Linked DNA regions of Saccharomyces cerevisiae S288C. The main gene of each other region encodes a partner of the protein of the gene in region 2 in a complex. Each region holds a gene or a part of one and is shown on either strand. Other genes may lie near its edges.

Region 1 (5,185 bases), on a different chromosome or scaffold from region 2:
TAACATTGGATAGATAATCCGCAGGATTTGGGCCATATGGGTTACTAGTGGTTGGAGCAGTCGTCGATTCGGTGACACTCTGGAATTCGTTATTTTCAGACATGGTTTGTTAAAGTATACAATTACTTGGGTTGTCGTTGCACTTTTAAATGTGTAGCAAATAAAGGCCTAAACGCAACAAGAAGAAAGATAAATTTTGAAATCTGTTGCATATATATATTAGTATATAAGAGACTGCATGAAAATGCGAACAAACGCATGCTCAACACCACTCATGCGCAATATCGTAGAATCACACACAACGAGAACGATCAGCTTGGCATCTTTGCAAAGTGACTAATTTTCGCTGTTCCACCACTATCGCACATTGCGCGACGTGATTTCTACGCGGATTTCTTGGAGCTGGTAGCTGCTGGTGACGATTTCCAGCGGAATTTCAACTCTGCCACTGACTGATCCTTGTTGTCAGTCTCATCATTTCAGCCTGATCTCTTCTCAAGCAGGCCGAAAAGCCGCCCGGTAAAGGATGTTACAACGGAAAGAGAAGTGCCATATCTTCATACTATGAGATTCTCAAGAGGTCAAAGACTCTTCATAGTTCAGTTGAATACACACAATTACACACACACACATATATATATATACATATATATATATATATATATATATATATATATATGTATACGCTTATGTATTTACTCGTAGGATTTGCTTCGTTCGATCAGCACAAGCCTTCAAAGATGATTAAGCAAGGTAAGCATACGATTCACCATCGTCTCCCCTCTGTAGGTATCCCTTTTGTATTAAGCTATCGATGGCTCTCTTGACCATAGAAACCTTTGCATTGAACCTTTGGTGTGATTGCGCAATGCATTCGTTGACCAATGTTGTATGTGGCAGATTTCTTTTCGCTTTCATTATTCTCACAATACAAGCTTCCAAGAAAATCTGCCTTTCTGTATTCAATTCTTTTTCTATTCTTTCGTCTTCCGTCAAGCGTTTGTTTCCTAACTTATTACCGTGATTATCGTGGCCTCCACCGGATAGCGATTGCAGAATGTCGTTTTTGACTCCGCTAGCGAAATTAATATTGGTCTTAAGCGCCTTATAAGGACGTGATAGCTTGAATTGTGTTTCAGGTTTCACGAGAGCATCTAGCCCTGGTGGGACCTGTTGAATCAGTTTGAATTTGATGAATGGTACCATTGCCGCTGCGATGTGCTGAATGGTTAAGCTCGTGCCCTCTTGAATATTTTCTAAGGTTAATACATCAGCATCGTTATATAGTAGCAAAATTGCCATTTGAAACAGTGTTACCGTAAAGTTGAACGGCATCCTGCCGGGTTTTCCAATATCTGCCTTCAATTCGCCACGACATAATGGCCATAGCCACTTCAATATTCTACCATTATGCTTTTGGCTGTATGACTCCTTCAATTTTTCGTGAGATGGTACCAATTCCTTGGGTAGCTTAAATTCAACTTCTTGGTATGAAAATGGCCACATATTTTCTGCCAATACAAATGGTTGTAGATCTGGATATTTTGCTTTAGAGTAATCTGGTTCATTCTTCAGGGCGACAGCAAAATCGTCTTCCAAGATCTTGGAAAGTCTAATATCTTGAAACATTTTAGTTATCTTGCCTGTATATTCCATACTATTTGCCGCTTGCAGCCTTTGAATAATATTTTCTTCGTCTTCTGCTGATGTTGAAGTGCCATGAATTAAACGCTTGGCGAAAAGTCTTCTATAATGAGTTTCGAACGCATCTTTGTCGGTCAAATATTTGAATATTGTTATAATATCTTCATCTGACATGTCACTTGCCACTTCAGGTTTGGTGGCCTTCTTTAATAGTATATCACTGTACTTAGCTAGCATCTCGGAAGTCTTCGAGGTGGCACTTTTTGGAGATCCAGCAGGTAATGCGAACTCGTTGATGTTGATGAAAGCACCACACGCATTATCTAGAGCTTTAGCTAAAGGTATGTCGTCGGGGAAACTTTCATTAAAAATCTTAGAGAATATATCGTGTACTTCCAGTAATTTCTTGATATAGTCTTTAGGAGAAAGGGAGTGAGCTGTCATTAGTGCTAGTTTTTTAGGGTTTGCGTTTTCGTTTTTCATAATATTGTGTTTATGCATTGCCAGTAGACTCGAAATTTCATTCTCACCTGTCTTTTTAACATAATTTTCAAACACTGAAGCCATTCTTGGGATTAATGTAAAGTCTCTGCGTATTAGTGCGTACAAAGAAGTAATTTTTTCAATATCTCTGGCATCCAGAAGGACAACAAACTCATTTTCCAACTTTTCAATATGGTCTGTGATCAAGACCTTGTTTAATGCCATGGATAGTGGTTTTTTTGTATGATCATCCCAATATATTGTCATTGCTTTTTCCTCACGTTTGATGATTTCATGTGCTTCAAAAATATACTCAGTTACCGAGTGTTTCTCTAAATAATCGTTTGTATATTGCGTGTAGTACTCCTGAGTCTTCTTTAAAAATGGCTTTTCGAAAACTTGGATGTAGACATTTAGGTTCAACTTTTTCAAATCCTGTGGATCGATACCTAGTGCAACTAAAGACTTTATGGCAGTGCTAATATTACTTCTTTGAATTATTTGCCCCTCCCTTCCCAAGGTTACCTGGTCTAATAATTCGTTTATTAAAACATCTTTACTCGGATCAAACATGACTTCTTTCCATGTCATCAAGCACAAGGTGTTTACATCAAAAATATGCCTTTTGCCGTCACTTCTTTCCTTTTGAACCCAATATCTATTCATATAATCGAATGCATGGTTTAAAAAAATGGCACCTATTGTAAACCTTTTCCAGCGCTTGACGTAAAACTGCAAAAAGGTCTCTGAATTAGACTGCTTAAAATTTAAAATGTAATTCTTCAAATAATTCTTTAACTTTTCGTAAATCTCACTGCCAACCAAAATTGTTGATTGGCCAGTTCTACTGTCAGTACTAAAATGTCCAGACGAGCGTGATTTGTTCACACAGTAGTTATAAATTGCGGTATAGACTTCCATATACATGGTTGGAGAAAGAATTTTGTAAACTCGCTTAGACGTGGATGCTTGGTTTTTCTCATTACCCAGTATTTGGTTAATTCCTGGCTCTATAAAGTTCCAAGTGGCCTCTAAATCATCAGATCTAGGCAGAGTCTCAGACATGCTTTGCTGCTTGCGATTTTGTTGTTATTCTTTGTTTAGGTATATGTAAGAATCCTTTCAAGACTCAAAAATGTACGCTTATTTATCGGTAAGTAGAAGCAATGTCGAATTGCTAAAAGAAATGTGTAACTGAGGTAAAATGTAATCAACAATGAAAGGGGTGCACAGAAGTTAGAAGATGCGGATGAAAAGCTCTAAAAGAGAAAAAGGACAATATAAAAGAGCAGTGATATGAATCAATTGCGTTGTAAAGTGAAGTTCTGCTGGGGTACTTTACCTAATGCCCTAGTTTTTCTAGATGTTCTATTTGCCACATTTCACTTCATGTGTGTCCATCAAACATCGAAATGAAAAAGGGCCCTTAAAACGGAAAGGAAAAGAAAGTGCAATAGCCCTCCCTTCGGGTAATACATATTATATCGCACAAAGCCTAATATAATCAAACCCGCCGTTAATGAATAAATGCCAAGCCGGAGTAATTTTTTAAGTCAAAAATATACAATGCATATAAATGTCAATCTTGGTATCTAAAAGAATTCTTTTAATTTCTATATTTGTCGAGCTCAGTTTCTGTTGGTAATTGAACTGACTTTTTCGACTACTCTAACAATACTGATCGAGAAAGTGATTACCCACATAAACAAGGCAACGAACAGAAAAGCGGATAAAGCTTCCTGTTTTCTGCAGATACGCGGTATTTTTGGGTATCCATACGTGCTTCCATTTGACCTGCGAATAGAAGTGCAAACCCACTCTTTGTCGAAACGAGTATTAAATGCCAGCGCTAGATTAGCGCTTGAAAAAATTATAAAAAGTAAGTCCAACAAAATTAGTTTCAGTTTGCTTAACGGATTCCTCAAACCAACAGGTTTACCAGCAAATTCATCGTGTGCAATGTAAATAATATACGCAATCGCCACGGCGTTGACGCAGATGGCCATTATGGTGCTTGGTTGTTGCCCGATTTTACTTTCACTGATGGTGTTATTTGATCTTGAGTTTTGAAAAATCTTGATTGCCAGAGCAAGTGAAATGCACGATAATATACCAGTGAAAATCCTCAAACCCAAAATCAAATATTGATTATCAAGTAATAGCGACGTCAAAGGAGGTCTCCACTGTTGTAACTTCCTTTGCTTTAACCTCCGCCACTTTTCTCTCTCTTTATTGAGCTCATTTACCCAATCTGACTTGTAAACTTTGTTGTGTACTGATTCGGGTGATTCTGGGTTCTTCTTATTATCACCGTAATAGAAATCTTTTACCTTTTCGATATATTGTAACCACTCTTTTCTCTCTTCTGTCGTGTTGAACTCTAAATTGGCACCTATTTCTGAATGTAGAACACCTTCTAGTCGTTCTTCACCTCCCCACTCGCTGCACATGTCACCTAAAATTTCTCTAAGAGCCGCATTTTTTGATGAGGTAGATGATGATAGAGAGTAACCATCGTAGGATTTGTGACTAGGATTGTAGTTTTGGTCTCTAGTGTATGCAGAATGACAGCCGATGGTAGATGCAAACTGGCCCCATTTAAACTCTTTTGGAAGATTTTTATCATCGGTAACATTTCCATCAACGGTGCCCTTATCCTGAAGTCTTAATTTATCAAACTGCGCCTCTAAAACATAAGGCGGCACTGTGGTAGGCACAAACGTGTAAGTATTTAATTTTGGATAGTCTAGTGGTGAACCATCACTGTGTTTGGGAACATGTATCTTTGCATTCTGTAATGCTTCCAGTGAACCTGACTTCCTTACTGTTTGATTTTTTTCAAGATCCACGTTTAAATTAAGTTGATTTTGATCTGCGATTCTAGAAGCGTTCGTGGATGTTGTATCAGAATACGCTTCTTGGCTGGAATTAGAATCCCCCATTAAATTTGTCAGTGTAAAAAAAAAGAACGCCTCAAAAAATGCAAAAAAATATCATTCACTTTCCCTTCTCAGCAATCTCACGGTTTCGAAATAGCAATCAAAGTATTTTTATAATT
Region 2 (3,857 bases):
CCTCAGCATCAAGAAATAGTTCGATAAAACGCCAAGGTTCTTATAAGAGGGGCCAGAATAATATACCACTAACACCTTTAGCGACCAATACACATCAAAGAAATTCATCTATCCCAATGTCTCCAAACTACGGAAACCAAAGTAATGGTACATCAGGGGAACTATCTTCCATGTCATTAGATTATGTTCAACAACAGGATGATATTTTAACAACATCAAGAGCCCAAAATATAAATAACGTAAATGGTCAAACAGAGCAAACCAATACTTCTGGTATAAAAGAAAGGCCTCCTATTAAATTTGAGATTCACATTGTAAAGGTTCGTATCGTCGGCCTAGCAGGTGTACATTTCAAAAAGGTTTCTGGTAATACGTGGCTATATAAAGAATTGGCATCGTATATTTTAAAAGAATTAAACCTATAGATACGTTGTTCTTACTAAATATTTCAACGTGTGTCTTTCAATTTTTATTATCTAATATTTATCTTTTTTTAATATTATAGTATAATTTATTTAAGCTGAGATCTGCTTTCTTTAATCTTTCATATGATGAAATAATAGTTCTACATAAATCTATAAGAATAATAAATAAAGTAAAACAACTGCAAAAAACATCGATGTCATCCAGGATCCTTGAAAGATTTCACTCTGGAGAAGAAAAAAGATTTCTCATTTCTCAACGAACAGTTAGATGCATTCCCTTCCTTATCCACTACAATTGAACTTAGCCATTTCAACCGTTGATATCTCTTATTGCCTTGATTCTTGATTTGGAATTCTTCGATAAACGTATACTTTTCATCTGACCTTGTTATCTTTAAATGACCAAAATCATAATCAAATCCGAGGCTCCAATAACACATATGACTATGCCTGGGTTTGTTCTCTTTGGAGAAGTGCTTCACGACAGCGCTAGGTTCATCTGTAGAAAGTAATCTCAAACATTGGCCGTTCTCATAAAATCTGAAATACCTGTAATAGGTGATCATGTGAACTGGCTTTAAAAGAGATAACGAACTTTCTGCATTGGAACCGTATCTTACATAATTTACTACACTGATGTAAACACCTTCGAATTTAATATATGGCCTTTCCCTTAACATACGATAATCATCACCCCGCCATATTTCCTTTTCAAAGGTATTTATATCGGTGATTCCGTTAAGATCCATTGCCATTTTGTCGTATATTTGCTTAGAATATATGTACTTCGCGAAAGTTTTAAATGGCACAGAATCGTGGAAGCAAAGCTTGCTAAAGGTGGAACAAGTCATCGACAAATTCACCCAAGATTCACCAGACATTAATATAACTTTTTTAATAATTCTCAGTAAAATGTCGTCAGGCAAGATTTCCAGAATCCAGCAGGGTTGAAGTTCAGCATTTTCTTCAACAGATAAGTCATCTTTACCGGTTTCATTTTGTTCATCTGGAGCATCAGTAGTCATTGATAATCCCGATAGTTTTTTGTGCAGCATCCACTCATCAAGTATTTTTTTTCTGTACAGTGATTCCACATTATCATGGATTTTCAATGCACTTCGATAGAAGTTTATAGCATCTGACATTGACCCATCCTTCTCTTTCAGTACACCTTTTTCCCAAATAGCAATAGCCTCTTTAGCCCTAGGGTCCTTTTCATAATCTACTATCATTTGCTCCTTGAGTTTAGCTTATGGAACACATGTGTCGTCGCCAAAGATGATGGGGAATGTTTGCTTTTATCTTGCTCAGTCGATTTCGCTATCTAGGAACTACAATCCTTTTTTTTGTCATTTGGAAGGCTCTTTAAAATTCCGAATCGATAAGTTCGGAGGTGGGAAAGGATAGCGGTATATTCCTTCCCAAATAAAAAGGCTACAAACACATTACATAAAGAATATTTGTTCAAGTAAACATATCCTCTTCACTCAAGATTACTTCGACAAACCATCATTGGTGTTTCCACCAATCAGCATATCAATCTCATTCAATAAAGTAAAGTCAAAATTGTACTCTAAGGCAAAATCGTTACCGTGAGATAGAGTCCCTAATAAATCCATAGTTTCTGAATTATGCAAAGCATCTTCAGAGTTTTCTATGAATTTTCTAGCAAGTTCGTAATTCAGGGTAGGCGCACTTAAAAAATTTAAGAAGTCTTGTTTTCTATCCTTTTTAATCAAGTTGGACTTCATGCATTGGATGGCTAAAATCGCAGAATAAATCATGTAAATTGTGGCCTTCTCAAACGTCTTAAATTTATTTTTCCAAACTTTTAAAAGATAATACAGTTCATCAACATAACCTTCAACCAATTCCCGGCTTTGTTTGATTTCGTATATGAAAGGTTTATTATAGGAAATTAGCACGATATAGTAATGAAACCATACGTAAGCTATGGTTGGGTTAAAATCTGTCATTTCCATCAATGACCTCTTGGTCCATTGTAGTTCAGGGGGCAAATCCCTTCTCCAATTGTATACCTCCAGATTAAATTTGGCCAAGTATTCACTCCTTTGAAGTAGAGTTTCGTTTGGGCTGAAAATCTTGGATGCAAAAATCTCCGTTATTCTCGATAACACAATCAGTTTCTTCAAGGGGTTTGCAGTGGACAATATTACTTTTGGGTCATATATGTACTCCTCTATACCAGTCTCAATTTCAGGTAGCTCGTCTGTTTCTGGAACAGTGGAATTGGACAAACGCAAGGAAGTTGATCTTCCAAAGAGGATCGCTATTAAATGATCAGCAATGTAGCAGCCCCAATAAATTCTACTTCTCACTTCAAAATCCATTATTGACAGCTCGTCTTCATAAACATTACTCCATGCTTCTGGATTCAAATGTAGGCCGATTTCGTGGGCAATCCTAAATGCCAGCCCAGAAAGATACCAAGCCATGGGGTTTTCTCCGCTTCCAATGTCATAAAATGCCAAACACAATAGAGTCTGGATGATTGCTAATTTCGAAGAGGACGACGATTCAGCTAACGAAGAATCTTCCAGTTGAAAAATTTTTTTGAGTACTATCGTCTTGGCTCTTTGATAAAACACTTCAGATTGTTGAAAAAGCTCAGTTTCTGATTTGTATGAAATCAAAGATCCCAATGCAGCGATTGCAAATACCAATTCTTCGGAACAATAGTAACTTTTAGTGTTAGTATCACCGAAGAAAGCACTTAAGAAAGTTTCTCTATGAATGAAAAGGTAATGTCCCGGGTATAGCCATTTGAAAAAGAGTGACAACGATCTTAAGATAAGGGGACTTCTTGATAAATTTTTTAGGCTGACCTGCTGTTGCTGATATCTTGTGCTTCCATCCGTCTTCTTTTTTATTATAGACAAGGAATTTGATGGATATATACTATTTGTGCCAACTGGTGGAGGGCTCTCGGAAGGCATTTTCTTGGTGAACGCATCAGACTCATTCTCATCGTTGCTTTCAGATGATGGTAGTGCTGATTGTGCTGTTTCGCCATACTTTAAGATTTTTTCATTAGGAGCATCACCATGATCACTGTTGTTTTTTAACGAGGAGAGAGCATTGCTAGCAATTGTGGAAGACGAGGAACTTAATATTTGCAACTGTTCTTTCAAAGACCGAATCTGGCTCTGTAAAGCTTCTACGTAAGTCGTAGAATATCTTTTGTTCCTTAAGTCTTGTTGAGTGAATACACATTCGGTACGAAACTTGATACAGTTTGAACAAGGCTTTTCCATGTTACATTTCCTTCTTCTTCTACGGCAATTCTGGCATGCTAGTTTTCTCTTCCTGGGCACGTTGTTATTATTCTGGTCATTATCTGTCACAGATTTCTTTAAACTGGACGGAAGGGAGGGTGTTACCGTTGTTGTTAAAGGTGGAGGTGAAGGCTCC

Evidence for each region.
Region 1: HRT3 (region 2) and CDC53 share a complex: the UniProt entries of both Saccharomyces cerevisiae proteins name them as parts of the probable SCF(HRT3) complex.

Annotation. Positions count from the first base shown.
Region 1 is NC_001136.10:222,311-227,495, reverse strand, and holds CDC53 (cullin CDC53), read right to left. Parts: upstream 3,193-5,185; coding exon 745-3,192; downstream 1-744. Other genes in the region: homocitrate synthase LYS21, read right to left, coding at 1-103; SRF1 (phospholipase D regulator), read right to left, coding at 3,756-5,069. UniProt on the Saccharomyces cerevisiae protein: Core component of multiple cullin-RING-based SCF (SKP1-CUL1-F-box) E3 ubiquitin-protein ligase complexes which mediate the ubiquitination and subsequent proteasomal degradation of target proteins.
Region 2 is NC_001144.5:335,609-339,465, forward strand, and holds HRT3 (SCF ubiquitin ligase complex subunit HRT3), read right to left. Parts: upstream 1,658-3,857; coding exon 623-1,657; downstream 1-622. Other genes in the region: serine/threonine protein kinase KIN2, read left to right, coding at 1-425; CHA4 (Cha4p), read right to left, coding at 1,919-3,857. UniProt on the Saccharomyces cerevisiae protein: Substrate recognition component of a SCF (SKP1-CUL1-F-box protein) E3 ubiquitin-protein ligase complex which mediates the ubiquitination and subsequent proteasomal degradation of target proteins. Probably recognizes and binds to phosphorylated target proteins.